Nothobranchius furzeri: one gene and its partner. The protein of the gene in region 1 interacts with the protein of each later gene in a pairwise test. Links are inferred from orthologs where the notes say so. Each region holds a gene or a part of one and is shown on either strand. Other genes may lie near its edges.

Region 1 (7,450 bases):
TAGGAACTCCCAGATGGTCTACTAGCCTGACAGGGGACTTAGTAGCTTCATAGATGGCTTCCTTTTTACAGATTGCTTTTATGGCAGACTGTGGGACATCTGTCCATTCAGTGTCATTGGTGTGTTGTCGGGACAATAGATCTGCATCTATGTTGTGACGACCAGGACGATATTGGATGTTGAAATCGTACGTGGCTAAAGCTGCAAGCCAACGATGTCCAACAGCATTTAGCTTTGCAGTGGTCAACACGTAGGTTAGGGGGTTGTTATCGGTTCTAACCGTGAACTTAGCTCCATAAAGGTAGTCATGAAATTTATCCACAACCGCCCACTTTAGTGCTAAGAACTCCAGTTGATGGACCGGATAGTTTCGTTCTGAGTCACTGATCCTTCGGCTAGCAAAAGCAACAGGCTTAAGGCCCTCAGGGTACTCTTGATTGAGCACAGCACCTAAACCGTTTAGGCTAGCATCCACATGTAGGACATAAGGTTTGGTGGAATCTGCAAATGCCAAAACAGGGGCATTGGTCAGACATTCAATGATTTTTTTGAATGCGACTTGACAGGAGTGGTCCCATCGCTCTTTGAATGGCTCAGAAGGTTTGAGATAGGTTTTGGTTGGGTCTTTGGTTTGAGCTCCCTTGTTTTTCTGAGTAGGTGGATAACCTTTGGTAAGCTCAGTTAATGGGCGGACTATGCTGGAATAATTTGCAATAAATCTGCGATAATACCCACAGAAACCAAGGAATGAGCGAAGGGTTTTTAGATCTGTTGGCTCCGGCCAGTTCCTGACAACCTCTACTTTTTCGGGATCGGTGGCTATCCCATCTTTTGAGACAATATGACCAACATATTTGACTTGGGACTGACAGAACTGACATTTGTCAAGCGACAATTTCAGACCAAACTCCTCAAGGCGATCTAAGACTTTTAGGAGACGTTGCTCATGCTCTTCGAGTGTTCTACCAAAGACAATTATGTCGTCAAGGTACACTAGGACTTGGAGAAGGTGCATATCACCCACTGCCTTTTCCATGAGCCGCTGAAAAGTGGCTGGGGCTCCTGTGATGCCTTGTGGCATTCGTTCAAATTGATAGAACCCCAGGGGGCAGATAAATGCAGTCTTTTCCTTATCTTGCTCAGACATGGCAATTTGGTGGTACCCACTCCTAAGATCGAGGACTGAGAACCATTTGCTGCCCGTAAGACAATCTAAGGCGTCATCAATACGAGGGATGGTATACTGGTCGGGGATCGTACGGCTGTTTAAAGTTCTGTAGTCGATGCAGATTCTGATGGAGCCATTTTTTTTCGCACTGCAACAATAGGTGATGCAAAGGGGCTTCGAGACTCTTTGATAATGCCTGCCGCTAACAACTGCTGTAGGTGTTGTCGTACATCATCAATATCTGCTGGAGCTAAGCGGCGTGAGCGCTCTCTAAAGGGGGTAGAGTTGCTAAGCCGGATGTTATGTTCTACGTCTTTAGCCAATCCCACATCCCATTCATCAAGAGAGAAAACATTACGCCTCTGCGCTAGCTTTTGCTGTAGTCTTTTCTTCCACTCTGTTGGAGCAGGAGAGTCACCAAAATCAAAGAGTTCGGGAGCTACGGTACTAGCTTCAGACTCTAACACTTTAGGATCGGTGACTACGTCTACTGCATGCATCTCGGCAATGACTGTGCCGACTTGGATAGAGGTAGGTTTCTCTGACTCATTCTGTAATAGCACGATGAAACTGTTCTCATCCATGTCACTTTCACGGAGAACACCTGGCTGGACCAACACTGCGGATGGGAGTTGGGGTATGGCAGGTGCCTCAACCAAAACAACATCTTGGGGTTTAGTTCTTTTCTGCTCTACTTTACAGGTGGCATAACAATTTTTCCCTGGAGCAATGGTAAGTGGCCCTGGACCTTGCCATTTCACTTGCCCTATGGGATCGTCGCCTCCACTGGACCTTAAGGACTGAGTTTGGATTTTATCATAAACTGCCTGTATCCTCATGGAGCTGACCTTGTTCTCGTTACCGCTATCTCTGCACAACTGAAATAGGCGGCTGAACAGAAAAGCGTTGGTACCAACCACTACAGGAGTTTCACGACCTTGCGGGGGCTCTGGACAAACAAGAGCGAGGACATTAAGAGGACCCTTGACACCTGCTACATTCTCAGGGAACTCTATCTCTACTACTACATACCCATGGTAAGGGTAGGACTCAGCTGATAGGCCCCAGATGGCTAGATTGGAAATGGGCTGTATAGGGACTGTTGGTATATTGGCTCTATACCAATCCTCAAAGATAATGGTCACTGATGATCCTGAATCCATAAGACCATGGCATGAGATGTTATTGACCTTATTAGGAGCTATGGATGATGGACCAATAAGACCTTCCGGTATGTTGGCACTTTGAGTTGGAACGTTGGTAGTATTAACTCGAGCAACACACTGATCTTGAGCGTCGGTACTTTGACTTTGTCCATTTGGGCTTCCATGCACTTGATGAATAAGCTTTTTGATTACCTTTTGAGCATTTTCCGGAGCTGTACATTTGTTTGCAAAATGGCCATTTTCTCCACATCTGTAGCAGAAATTATCTGACTCTTTACTACTCTTTGGCTTAAAGGTAGATGACTTTGGACTGAAGTCCGCTTTGAACTTAGAATAGTGCCCTCTCTCTTTTGCATAATGTTGTGGCGTTACCGACATGACACTTAACTGTGTTTTCAGCTCTTTGACTTCTTTTCTTAACTGTTGCACTTCGCTGCTTGTGTCTGATTTCTCTTTTTTCTTTTCTCTGGACATCTTTTTGTGGCTTGACTCTGTAGAATGAGACTGCTTACTGAGCTCTTTCAGCTTTTCTTTTAGCACTTGAATTTCGGACTGAAACTCATGTTGCTGACAATCTCTGGAGTCTGTTTCACTTGCTACTTGCACTGCATGCACGTGCTGTCTCTGTGCTGGTTTTTTCAGTTTTTGTCTTGCAGCTTCACGCTCCTCTTCTTCTCGAATTTCTTTCAGTAGACTTAAAAATGTCGGGGGATCACTTCGCTTACCTCTAAGACCTAGATGAAGCAGCATGAAGTCTTATTCAGTAGCACCTTTAATGAGTTGCTCAAGCCTTGCTCGGTTGGCTTCATCTACTTGTAGGCCTCCTTTTTGCACGACTTTGTTCAGTAATCTTTCCAGTCTCAGCAAGAAGTTAGACAAGCACTCCCCTTGTCTTTGATGCATAGCTCTGAATGTGAGATACAGTTCCTCACCGGATTCTGCGGTACCAAAGGTACTTTCCAATGCCTGTATGCAGTCCACATGGTTTGCCAGGGGATTAGACATGCGCACTGCTTGAATGATCTCCAGCGCTGGCCCTTTGAGACTCTCAATAATTCTTCGGCGTTTCTCCTTATCTGAGCACTCATACTCATCAGTCATGAACTTTACTTGTTCTAGCCAGCTATCCAAGTTGTCTTCACCAGGTGGAGTAGGGTAGACTCCTGAGAAGATTCTAAAACGACGGTATAAATTGCTTTCATTTGGCTTGGACTGCAACACATCACCTACCACCCGAATGATTGACTCAGGGCTGCTGTTCCATGGAGTTCTAGGATCACATAGTCTTTGAACATCCTCCATTGTTTTCCCTTCATCACGCAGAAATCTGTCCAACTTCTCTGTGAATAGGTCGGAGTTCGTTTCTTGCTCTGCAACAACTATTGTCCATTTACTTCCATCCTTAAAGGAAATCAACTCTGGCGGAACTTTGGTAGGATCGACTGCTTCACAGCATTCACATAACATGGTCAGGGTTTGATTATTGGCATCAAACATTTTTCCTCTTACTCTTACCTTGCCCAAGGTTTTTACTTGTTCGAGTGTTTCTTCTACTGTGGATAGGTCCTCCTCTTCAGGCACTCCGACAACTAGAATGGCATGTGCCTGATCGAGCCCTTCACCTCTGCACCAATTTGCAAGATTCGGTTGTGAGACATCACTTTTAGTGGCCATAGTTTAACAAGTTACTTTGTAGGGGGAAAAAAAAGATTAATTGAAGTTGCTTTTTAGGACCAGTGTTACTCTTAGTTACTTTAAGGTTACAGCAGATTTAGTGGTAACTTAAAATGTAGATAAAACAACAACAATCCCAGCGGTGCCTCCAAATGTGTAGCACCCAACTCAAGTAGCTCTGGATTAACCCTCGGTTAAGATGGTGATAGTACTATGAGCGGGGCCCTGGGTACATTAACTAATCTTATTGGTAAACAGGAGAAACAATGACTAACCAGTTTTAACCTTTGTGAGCTCATTCACTGAAACCGTTGCAGGCCTGATCGTTGCTTGGGCTCGTTGGGCCAGAAAACAAACAAATGGCCGCTTCACTTGATAACCAGCAGAAAACAAAACACACGTGCTCAGGTCTACTCATGAATCCTTTGGGCTAAGTGCAAGGCAAACGGAGGGGCAGTCTTGGTTGGTGACCATGCGGCCTCCACTCGGCAAGGTGGTCGGAATTAGCGGCATACCCGGGCTGCTGAGTACACTGGAACAACCACACAGAACTCCTATCCACAGCAGAAGAGTCCAGAGAATTCCTCTCGGTCCACTGTGCATTAGAGATTACTATTTAGTTCCACAGAATAAGCTGTATCTTACGTACTCGACATACATAGCTATTACAGGCTCTAAAATGCTAACATGCTAACTCGCGATTAGCACCATACATTTTAAGTACTTATACATTCCGTTTAAGCTCAATGCTAACTCCACATTCAGTACTCACTCATCACAGGGTAAAACAGTCCATAACAGGAACGTAGACTCTGCATCCACGGCTATTATTTCACTATTCTTCCATTAGCTCTGGTACACAACCTCCTCCCGCAACGTGCTGCTGCCGACTCTCACTAGCTTCGCTGTTTTTTCTTTCTTTTGCCTCACTTAGCTCCCGCCTCCCTTACGTCTGATTGGACAGTAGGTTTACATCAACCAATGGGATAAAAGAAAATACAAGATTGACAACCCAAAATGAACTTGTAAAACAACTTGAAACAATACAAAGTTTTCCTTGTTTCACATTAGATAAACCTTTAGTTTCATTGTTACTTATAACTCCATGAACACTCAAATTATGATTGACTTCTATTTATTGTGATTTTAAACACATTTTTAACCATTTGAACTCCTTGTTTTTTCAAATATATGAAATATTTACAATAAAGGCTTTACACAATATTTATATCCTTTTAACCTGTAGGGTCTAGAATAGATATTTGAGACCAGGCTACACATGTACATCTGCACACATACACTTGCACACCCCTTTGTTTCCTTCTCTGCCTTATCTTTTGATTAATCTGTGTGTTGTGACCTTGTAACTGTAGTGTAAAAAAGACATTTCAATTACAAAAACACATCTAATTGTACTCACCGCACATGTGTCTGTTTTCATTGTGCTTTTTATTGGATCACATATCCTTCTGCAGTTTATTACAAAAGACTGCAGCTCATTTCATTCCAATGGCAGAACACAAAAGAAGAAATTTACGAAAATCTGGCAATACTTTCTCCCAGAAAACAACAAGAGGATTTAGGTGAAACTGATGAGGAAGCTCTGCCCCTTTTGGAGCCCTACAACCCAGGTAGACTTCTCAGTAGAAACATAGTTCAAAATTTAAACAGGTTACTGAAAGTTGGACTCCATACCAGCATAATCCTCATTCTCCTTTACGACTGCCTGCACCACCTCAGCTGCAGCTGACACAAAGCGTTCCAGCACAAAGGGTTGGCAGGATCCATGGAGGTGAACCTAGAATACCTGACTTCAAGGAAGGTGAGGATCCTAAGAGCTTCTTTGTACGATTTGAGCACATGGCTAAGACATGGGGATGGCTACCAGCTGAATGGGCTGCTAGAGTGTTGTTGTGTGCCTCTAATCCAGCAAGCATTACACACACACGTAAGTAGGAACAGAGGACCGGAGATAACTCCCGCTTTATTTCTCTCTTCTTCACTTCTCTTTTTTTTACCACAACAACCACAACGTACTTACTAGCGCCCTCTAGCGCTTCTAGTAAATGCATCTACAGAACACATGCAACAGTATGTGGACACAACATCTTCCCCTTTTGAACAAGGATTCCTTATGTGAACTAAGCCTCATCATTCTGATGTAGGTCACCTAATACACGTTAACATTTCACATTACTCAGTACACTCACTTCCCCATAACAAAGTCCTGGGTCCAGCAAGGTGGCTTTCTCATCCTGATGGGCCTAAGCCTACTATCAGACTCAGAGTTAGATGCCAGATCAGTTCCTGGTTTATGACAGTCCATTTTTGTGTCAGCATCAGTACCTGTGTTCAGCCCTGACAGAGCCGATAAGTGTGAGGCGTTCCAGGTCCGTCCATCATCCAGCAGATAAGTATTTGGTCCTTTCCTGGTCACGACAGTCTTTGGTTTAGAAAACTTTAACTCTCCTTTCTTTACCTTCCATGGCTTCCTAACCCGTACCTTGTCACCAGCCTGAAAGTTGGATGATTTTGCGCGTCTGCGAGCATCAGTGTATTCCTTCATTTTCAATTGCTTATCTTTAACTCTTTCGCACATGGTCTGCCTCTCTGTCTGAGGAACAGGCATATCTATTACCTGTAACTTTGTTCTCATTCGGCGTCCATGGAGCAGTTCTGAAGGGGAGACTCCAGTTGTAGAATGAGGGGTTGCTCTGTAGTCCATCAGGTAAGTTCTCAGGAACGATTTCCAGGGTTGACCTTGAATCGAGGCAGTCTGTAGGCAGTCTTTAACGCACCTATTGAATCTCTCCACTTCCCCATTAGCTCTTGGGTAATACACTGAGGACCTCAGGTGTTGGATCCCCCTGCTTTTGAGGAAGTCAGCGAACTCAGCAGAGATGAATTGAGAGCCATTGTCACTTATCAATGTCTTTGGATTCCCTTCACGAGAGAAAACTACGGAAAGGAACTGAATGACAGTACCTGCATCAGCTCGGGGAGCAAAAGCTACTCCAGGCCACTTACTAAAATAGTCTACCAATGTAATGGCAAATCTACAGTCAGAAGGGGCTATTTCAAAAGGGCCTATGATGTCCACAGACACCTTTTCCCAAGCAGCAGCCGGTAAAGGAATGGGTTGAAGTGGAGCATCATGGGTGACGGCGGACTTGTCGTTCTGTCGGCACGTTGCACAATTCTTTATCAGTGTCTCTATGTGACAATCCATTTTGGGCCACCAGTACAATTCCCTCAGGCGTTGTTTAGTACGTACAATACCTTGGTGAGATTCATGAGCTATGTCAGTGAGTTTTTTCTGCAACGACTCAGGCACCAGCAATCGATGTGTACCTCTGACAATGCACTCGTTAAGGACCGCGAGTTCATGGCGGATTGGGAAGTAAGGCTGTAAGTCAGGTTCCAGTGATGTCTTTCTAGCAGG
Region 2 (6,625 bases), on another chromosome or scaffold:
GACACCCTTTGACTTTCTCTCACAACTGGTCAAAGAGTGGGAGGAAGCAGCTCTTCTTCCAGAGAACGTGGCTAACAACACCAAACAAGTTGTCATTCGTTCTGGTGTGTGTAACCTTGCACACACACAACACACTTCAAGGAACAGACCGTTTTGTATAAATATGTATTCCTCCTGGCTAAATCCCTTTTACGTTGTTTGTTATGACTAAAGTGTCATATTATATGTGACAGCTTTTTTTTTGTAACTGAATTAGGAAAATTGAAATAAGCGGTCTCCTTTATTCCATTTTTGTCCACCAGGGGTTGTTTTGGGTCGTGACGGGGGTGCCATGAAACAAATGCTGCTTCCCTTCTGGCTCGGTCTCGGAGGCACACTGGGTTCTGGAACACAGCCATTCCCGTGGATCCATGTCTCCGACCTGGCAGGAATCATTGCTGGTTCTCTGGAGCCCCCTGCTGACCCACCGTCCACCTCTCCACAGGTGTACAACGGGGTTGCACCTGCGCTGAACACCAACTATGAGTTCACTAAGGAATTGGGTCGGATCCTGAGGCGGCCCACCATCTTTCCTGTGCCGGGTTTCGTTATGAGCGCCCTGATGGGTTCTGAAAGGGCCACGGTCCTCACTGAGGGTCAGAAAGTCGTTCCAAATCGGACTTTAGAGTCTGGATTTCAGTACAAGTACCCAGACTTGACCTCTGCCCTAAAACAGATTGTTGAGAATTAAAGAACATTTTCTTCCCATTTACTGCCATATAAAATAAAAAGAACATTGTAAATGGCTCCACCTTTTGGTTGTGCTGTCACCTTTTTTATTCATCCCACCTTAAATTTGTCAAACTTTAAAAGCAGCATTTGTCAAATGAAAGGAAATTTGTTGGTTTGTTTCAAATATTAAAAAATACAAAGCTTGTTTTCTTTAAGTATAATGCCAGATGGGAAAAATATACTGTAGATACACCATAGAACAGCAACATGAAGAGTGGTACGCATCAAATTATAACATTAAAAAATGAATCAGCCCCAGAGAGGTATTGATTCTCTCTGAAAAATGAAAAGAAACCTGAACTCCTGAGTTAAAATTCAAACTTAAGAAATGCCAAATACTTCATCTGAGGTCTTTTCTCCACAACTAAAGAGTCATCACTCAAGTGACATCTTTAAAACATCACCATTTTAAAGTAAAACAAGAGTGTAAATATTTAGATTTAATAAGAGGTGAGAGGAAAAACACAATTTTTCTATTCTATTCTGTAGTAAACGAGTCATTAGATGAAATTTTTTTTGTTTTATGGGATTCAAAAATTGTTTATTTTTGGTAGAGTCATCACTCTGAGTCACTTTCGGCATCCTTTTCAACCTTCAGAATGATCGGCAGCTGGTCTCCCCAGTCGCTGTTCCTGGCGCAGCGGTACACATCTCTGAGAAAACAAAAAGACAACAGAAAATGTTTATTCAGCAGGAAAAAAAATAGATGAAATTATTTTAATCGGAAATGATCACATCCTAACAAGCCGCTGGTTCGTTTTTAAACATCTTAAATAAAAACAATTGTAGCATCTAAACACTTGAAAGAAGCTACTTTTCTGTAAAAACGGATTTTGGTACATTTAAAGACAATATTCTGAGGTGTCTGAAGAGACCCATCCTGCAGGATGTTGTTTACCGGCTGTGTTTCCGTGCCGTCACCACCTTGTGCTGCAGCTGTCCATCAGTGCAGCACATGTGGCAGTGGACGTGTCGCGTTCTGCACAGCACCGGCGCAATAAGCCGGGCCCATTCCAAACCTTCTGTCCCTTCCTGCGCCGGTTCCGTTCGGCTCAAAATCAGGTAGCTGAACTTCTCCGTTTGGCATTCGTGGTGCTGAAAAAACAACAAATAAAATCATTTAGACTTTGTTTTACAAGCCATACCTTTATGTTTATGTTTATTCATTTTGCAGACGCTTTTATCCAAAGCGACGTACAATTTTTATAACCTGTAGGGCATGTTGTGATCTGTGGGGGAAACCGGAGTACCCGGAGGAAACCCACGCATGCATGGGGAGAACACGCAACTCCACGCAGAAAGGCCGCAGCCGAGTTTTGAACCTGCGACCTTCGTGCTGCGAGGCAACAGTGCTAACCACTGCGCCACCATGCAGCCCTTTGATGTGGTTTTGTGGAGATATTAACCGATTTGGTCCTAAAGTGCAGCCTGTTACCCTTATCCTCTGTGTTAACGTTGATGCAGAGTTGAGTCTTACCCCTGACAGAGGGAGAGGATGGTAGCGCTGCTGGAAGTTGCAGGGTGTGATGGGCTCTCGGGCCAGTTTGGGACACATCATCTCATGGGGACACTGAGGAGTAAACAAAAAGAAGCTGCAGCAAAAAATGCAACGCCGCAAACCAAGACTGATGCTTTTCCTTTAACCTACCGGGGCGAACACTCTTGCTGGTCTGGGGTCGTGAACAATCTGCTCTTGTTTCTGTTGTGCAATTTATTAAACTGTCAAAACTTTTACACAGAAACGCCAGGAAAGAACCAAGCGGCAGTTTCACTGGAGTACCTTTAGTAAAGTGTCTCTGGCGTCCATGAGCATCTGATGGCCCTCTTTGGTTCCGTTTTCCACCAGAACCTGAAGGACAAAGTGTGGAAAAATAATGAAACACAGCTTAAAATAAGCTGAATTTTTTTCCACATTTAATTTCTCATGACCTGAGTTTTAATTTCAAGTGCATTTTTAATTTCACCTAGCTATTCTCGATTTGTTGGACCTCAGAAAAATAAAAAAACAAACAATATTGAGAGCATATTATACAAAAACAAAAAAAAACCATTAAAATATTTTTAAAATGTTAAATTACATAAAAAATATTTTAAAAGAGTAATAAAAGCAGGTCTAAGATTAACAGAATCAAATATTACAAGGCAAGAAGCCAATGTCGACACGTGAAGGATAAACACTGGAAAAAACTCAGAAGGCGTAAAAGGAAATATAAAGTTGAATTATTGATCTAACCAACCAGGTAGGAGGATGTTTTTCTCCACAGAGTGATCACAGCATCTTCTCGCTCCTTCACGCTGGGAAGCTCTGACAGAGTGAAAGCAGCCGCCACCAAGTCAAACTGAACCTGAGGAGAGAAACTGGGGAGTCAGATTTGTAGCTTTTATTACCAATTTTAACATAATTAAGTTAATCTGAGATTGCTTTCTCGTGGTAAATCCAGATCAGCATTTCCTCTGTAACAAAACCAAAAACCTGGGATGTTTTACCTTAGGAGAGACGGGAAGAAATCGTCTAAAATAGACGTGTTTGAAAAGAGGTTCAGCCTCCTCCTCATCACCTGCGCAGAAGAAAGCACATTCAGCATCTTCTAAAAAATGTTCTGTTAATGTGACAAATATAACAGATCAACCTTTAAGAAGTCGCTCAGCCAAAACGCTCATAGGCCCAGAGCTGTCCACACACACCATCTCTTTTAAAGAGTCTCCCCAGTGCAAGTGTGATGCCCTTTGAGAGGCAAAAAAACACACACACACTTAACCTCATTTAGACAAAAAGGGTTTTAATTTGCACACTAACCAGGCAACTGTTCCCAATCCTGACCCAAAATCCAGGAGAGATTGAGGAGCAAATGAGGGATCCCTCTTCTTTATCTGAATGAACACAAAAACACATCAGTTTTAATTTAAGAGTGATCAGAGGCACGTACAGGGGCTAAAGTCTTCCACAAATCACTTCATTACCTCATTTAGAGCTCTCGTCACTGCTGCAAAACCTCCAGCAAGCCGCGAGGCCATGTACACCACCCCCAGCTCTTCATCATACCTGAAACACAAAAAGGGCCGGTTACGAACCAAAACTCTCAGATTAAGCTGAGTTCTAAGTTCTGATTACTTCAGGGAATTCCAGTGATATGTAGTTTGTCTGAGCTCTGAGAGAACCCTTTTCCTGATCTGATTCCTCAGCGCTTCCTCGTCAATATCTGCAAAGAGAAACATATTTATTGTCTCCAGGGGCTGCTACATGGATACATCGTTACTTGATCCCACCCTCGCTCACCTCCCATCTTCTGCATGGCTTTCTCCCAGAGTTCTTTCTCCAGACCCAATGCTTTCTGCCTCAGAGTCACGTCCTCAACCATCCGCTTTCGACTCCACAAGTAGTTTATGAGTTTGTGACAGCGATCAGTAAGCTGGGTCACCTGAGCTTCTACACAAAGAAAAAACAAACATGTGGGAAAATTGTCAGTTTTATTTATTATTATTATTATTATTATTATTATTATGGCAGCTAGAGTTGATGACAGCTGATCTCACTTTGAATGACTGACTGTGCAGCAACTTGGAGCTCCTGGGGTAGCCGAAGTGTATTCAGGCTGGTCATACCAGGATGTTTCCTGTGGGGTTCTCCTTTAAGGAAATCTGCTTTGGGCTGTGGGTTAGCAGCAGCACTCACAGTCTGGAATAAATTATTATTACAAAGTGTCAGAATAGGAAAATGAAAAGCAGAGTGGCTGCATTATATGACTTTGTTAGAGTACATAATCGACATATAAAAATATGTGTATGAGGTACATGTTTGTTTGCATATAAATAATTCCAAAAATATACAAAAAATTTATGTAAGGTGTGAAGAAAGCACAGTCTTAGCAAAATATTAAGCAGTACTAGAGAAAAGAAAAATACAGGAAAACAAGGAAATAAGGACATTAGGATAAAAATACTAGTCACTGCAAAACTGTGGAAAGAAATATGAAAACAAATAATTTTATGTAATATTCAAACCGGGCTACTTTTCTACAAACTGACATGTCATTTACAGACCATAAATGTACACAAAACATAAATGACCTCCAGTGAAAATGATGCACTCAAAGACACCTGGTGGAGTACTTACCCTGAACAAAATCTTCACCACAGCCACTCTCTGACTGAGACCACAGGCTTTATAGCTACTTGATGCCATGTTCTCGGTGTCTAAACGGCACTGAAATATTGGTAAACATTTACTTTCATCCACGCTATTGTAAAGCACACCGACCGACTGATTTGCATCAACAAAATAATTCCGGCCACCACTGAAAGTGGAACCATCGAGCCTTAAAGATTTGTTCCTACACGAGGGAAACAAGAAGAGTTCTTTCTCTGATCTTGTTTACAGATACTGGCTAACATTCGGAAACAAATAGCACATAAAAGAAGGATTAGATTAAAAATGTTTGTTTTACCACATATACATCATTAGAAAAATCATTATTTGGTTGTAAACAGATGTATATTGCTGCGTTGCTAACTTCTGTATTCATCGCTAGTTAGTTACGAAGTGCGGCATCTTTTTAATAAACCATCTTCGGTAGGCTTTGCTCTCTACAGGCCTATCCGAAGAAAAGAAAGTTCCCGCCGTGTTTTCTACTGCTTCTCGATTTCTGCTTTTCCTGCTGTTAAATAAACTTGTTTTGATACACAAACATGAGGCGAACCAGAAGTTCGAGAAATAAAAGCCAGCGCGCACAAGAAAACCACGAAGTCCCGTCAAAAACAGGTTGGTGTTTGCTTTTAGCACATCATGGAAGGAAGCAGTGTAGCCATTAAACATGCCCGGACAGAGAATTAGGTTTTATTTTCATCTTCACAATTCTTTGGTAACTATGTCCTGCACTACCTATTACTTATATTTGACAACATTTGTGTTTTAACTAATTGAATCAAAACTTGGCGCGAAAACTGGTGAAAAGCACGAATATTAAGCAGTTCTGGAGGAAATCACTAGAATAAAGTGACTCACTGCTACATTTAATTAATTTAGTAATAACTAAAGCCTCGTTTGAGTGTAGAAAAACAATATAATGGCTCTGCAAAGTCCAGTTGATTAACACATCTTTGTTTAAAAAGTAGTAAAAAGAAACTACATAATTACATTTAATGAATGAAATCAACTCAGGGCAGAAATTTGATGTTTAGAAATTGATTCATGTTTTATAAAGTCATATCAGTATTTTATAGTTCATAAAAGGTCTGTTGTGGAATATTATTTTCAGTTTTTCCTATAATGCAGCACTTAAACAACTGTTTTACTGTTTTCTGGCTCTGTTTGTGATCACAGTGTGGCAGTGGAAAGGAGATGAAGGACAGTGGGAATCGTACCCGCCTACAGCCTGTGCCTTGCTTGATTCAGCCATTTCTTCAGGGAGGACATCCGTCACTCTGACTCTTGGCTCGGGGGCAGCATATGAAGTGGATTTGAAGAAGATGGTCCAGATTAACCCTGTGACGAAATACAAGAGAAAAATCCGCTCCAAGACTGTAAAAACAGGTGTTTTTTATTTATAGAAATCAATTCAGACTGAAGATGGCAAGACACATTATTTGTTGATCGTACATTTGTTTTTTGTTGTTTGTTTTATAAGAGAGTTTACAGGAAGCTGATGATGAGGCTGCTCATAACACAGAATTCATTCAGGTAAAAGAGGAAGAGGAGGAGAATGAGGAGCAGCCTACCGCTAAGAGGAGAAGAGGTCAAAGCAAGAGTGCAGCAAAAACCGAAGAGATGCCAAAAGAGGAAGGTAAGATTAATATAGTTTTGTTAGCATCAAAGTAAGTAAATAAACAAAAATGATAAAAAGAAAAGGTAATCTTG

What was found. The genes of interacting proteins can lie anywhere in the genome.
Region 2: the proteins of paraneoplastic antigen Ma1-like (region 1) and mettl17 interact in binary tests that used the Homo sapiens proteins (3 or more experiments, as listed by UniProt). The link is inferred for Nothobranchius furzeri from reciprocal best matches to the Homo sapiens genes PNMA1 and METTL17.

Annotation. Positions count from the first base shown.
Region 1 is NC_091745.1:26,671,795-26,679,244, forward strand, and holds paraneoplastic antigen Ma1-like, read right to left. Parts: upstream 4,009-7,450; coding exon 3,091-4,008; downstream 1-3,090.
Region 2 is NC_091751.1:41,150,987-41,157,611, forward strand, and holds mettl17 (ribosome assembly protein METTL17, mitochondrial), read right to left. Parts: upstream 5,081-6,625; 5' UTR 4,955-5,080; coding exon 4,886-4,954; intron 4,448-4,885; coding exon 4,306-4,447; intron 4,199-4,305; coding exon 4,049-4,198; intron 3,972-4,048; coding exon 3,884-3,971; intron 3,815-3,883; coding exon 3,733-3,814; intron 3,643-3,732; coding exon 3,569-3,642; intron 3,497-3,568; coding exon 3,402-3,496; intron 3,330-3,401; coding exon 3,259-3,329; intron 3,117-3,258; coding exon 3,009-3,116; intron 2,621-3,008; coding exon 2,552-2,620; intron 2,471-2,551; coding exon 2,420-2,470; intron 2,342-2,419; coding exon 2,249-2,341; intron 1,867-2,248; coding exon 1,670-1,866; intron 1,425-1,669; coding exon 1,331-1,424; 3' UTR 1,199-1,330; downstream 1-1,198. Other genes in the region: epimerase family protein SDR39U1, read left to right, coding at 1-104, 303-730; parp2 (poly [ADP-ribose] polymerase 2), read left to right, coding at 5,458-5,530, 6,092-6,301, 6,396-6,551. UniProt on the Homo sapiens protein: Mitochondrial ribosome (mitoribosome) assembly factor. Binds at the interface of the head and body domains of the mitochondrial small ribosomal subunit (mt-SSU), occluding the mRNA channel and preventing compaction of the head domain towards the body.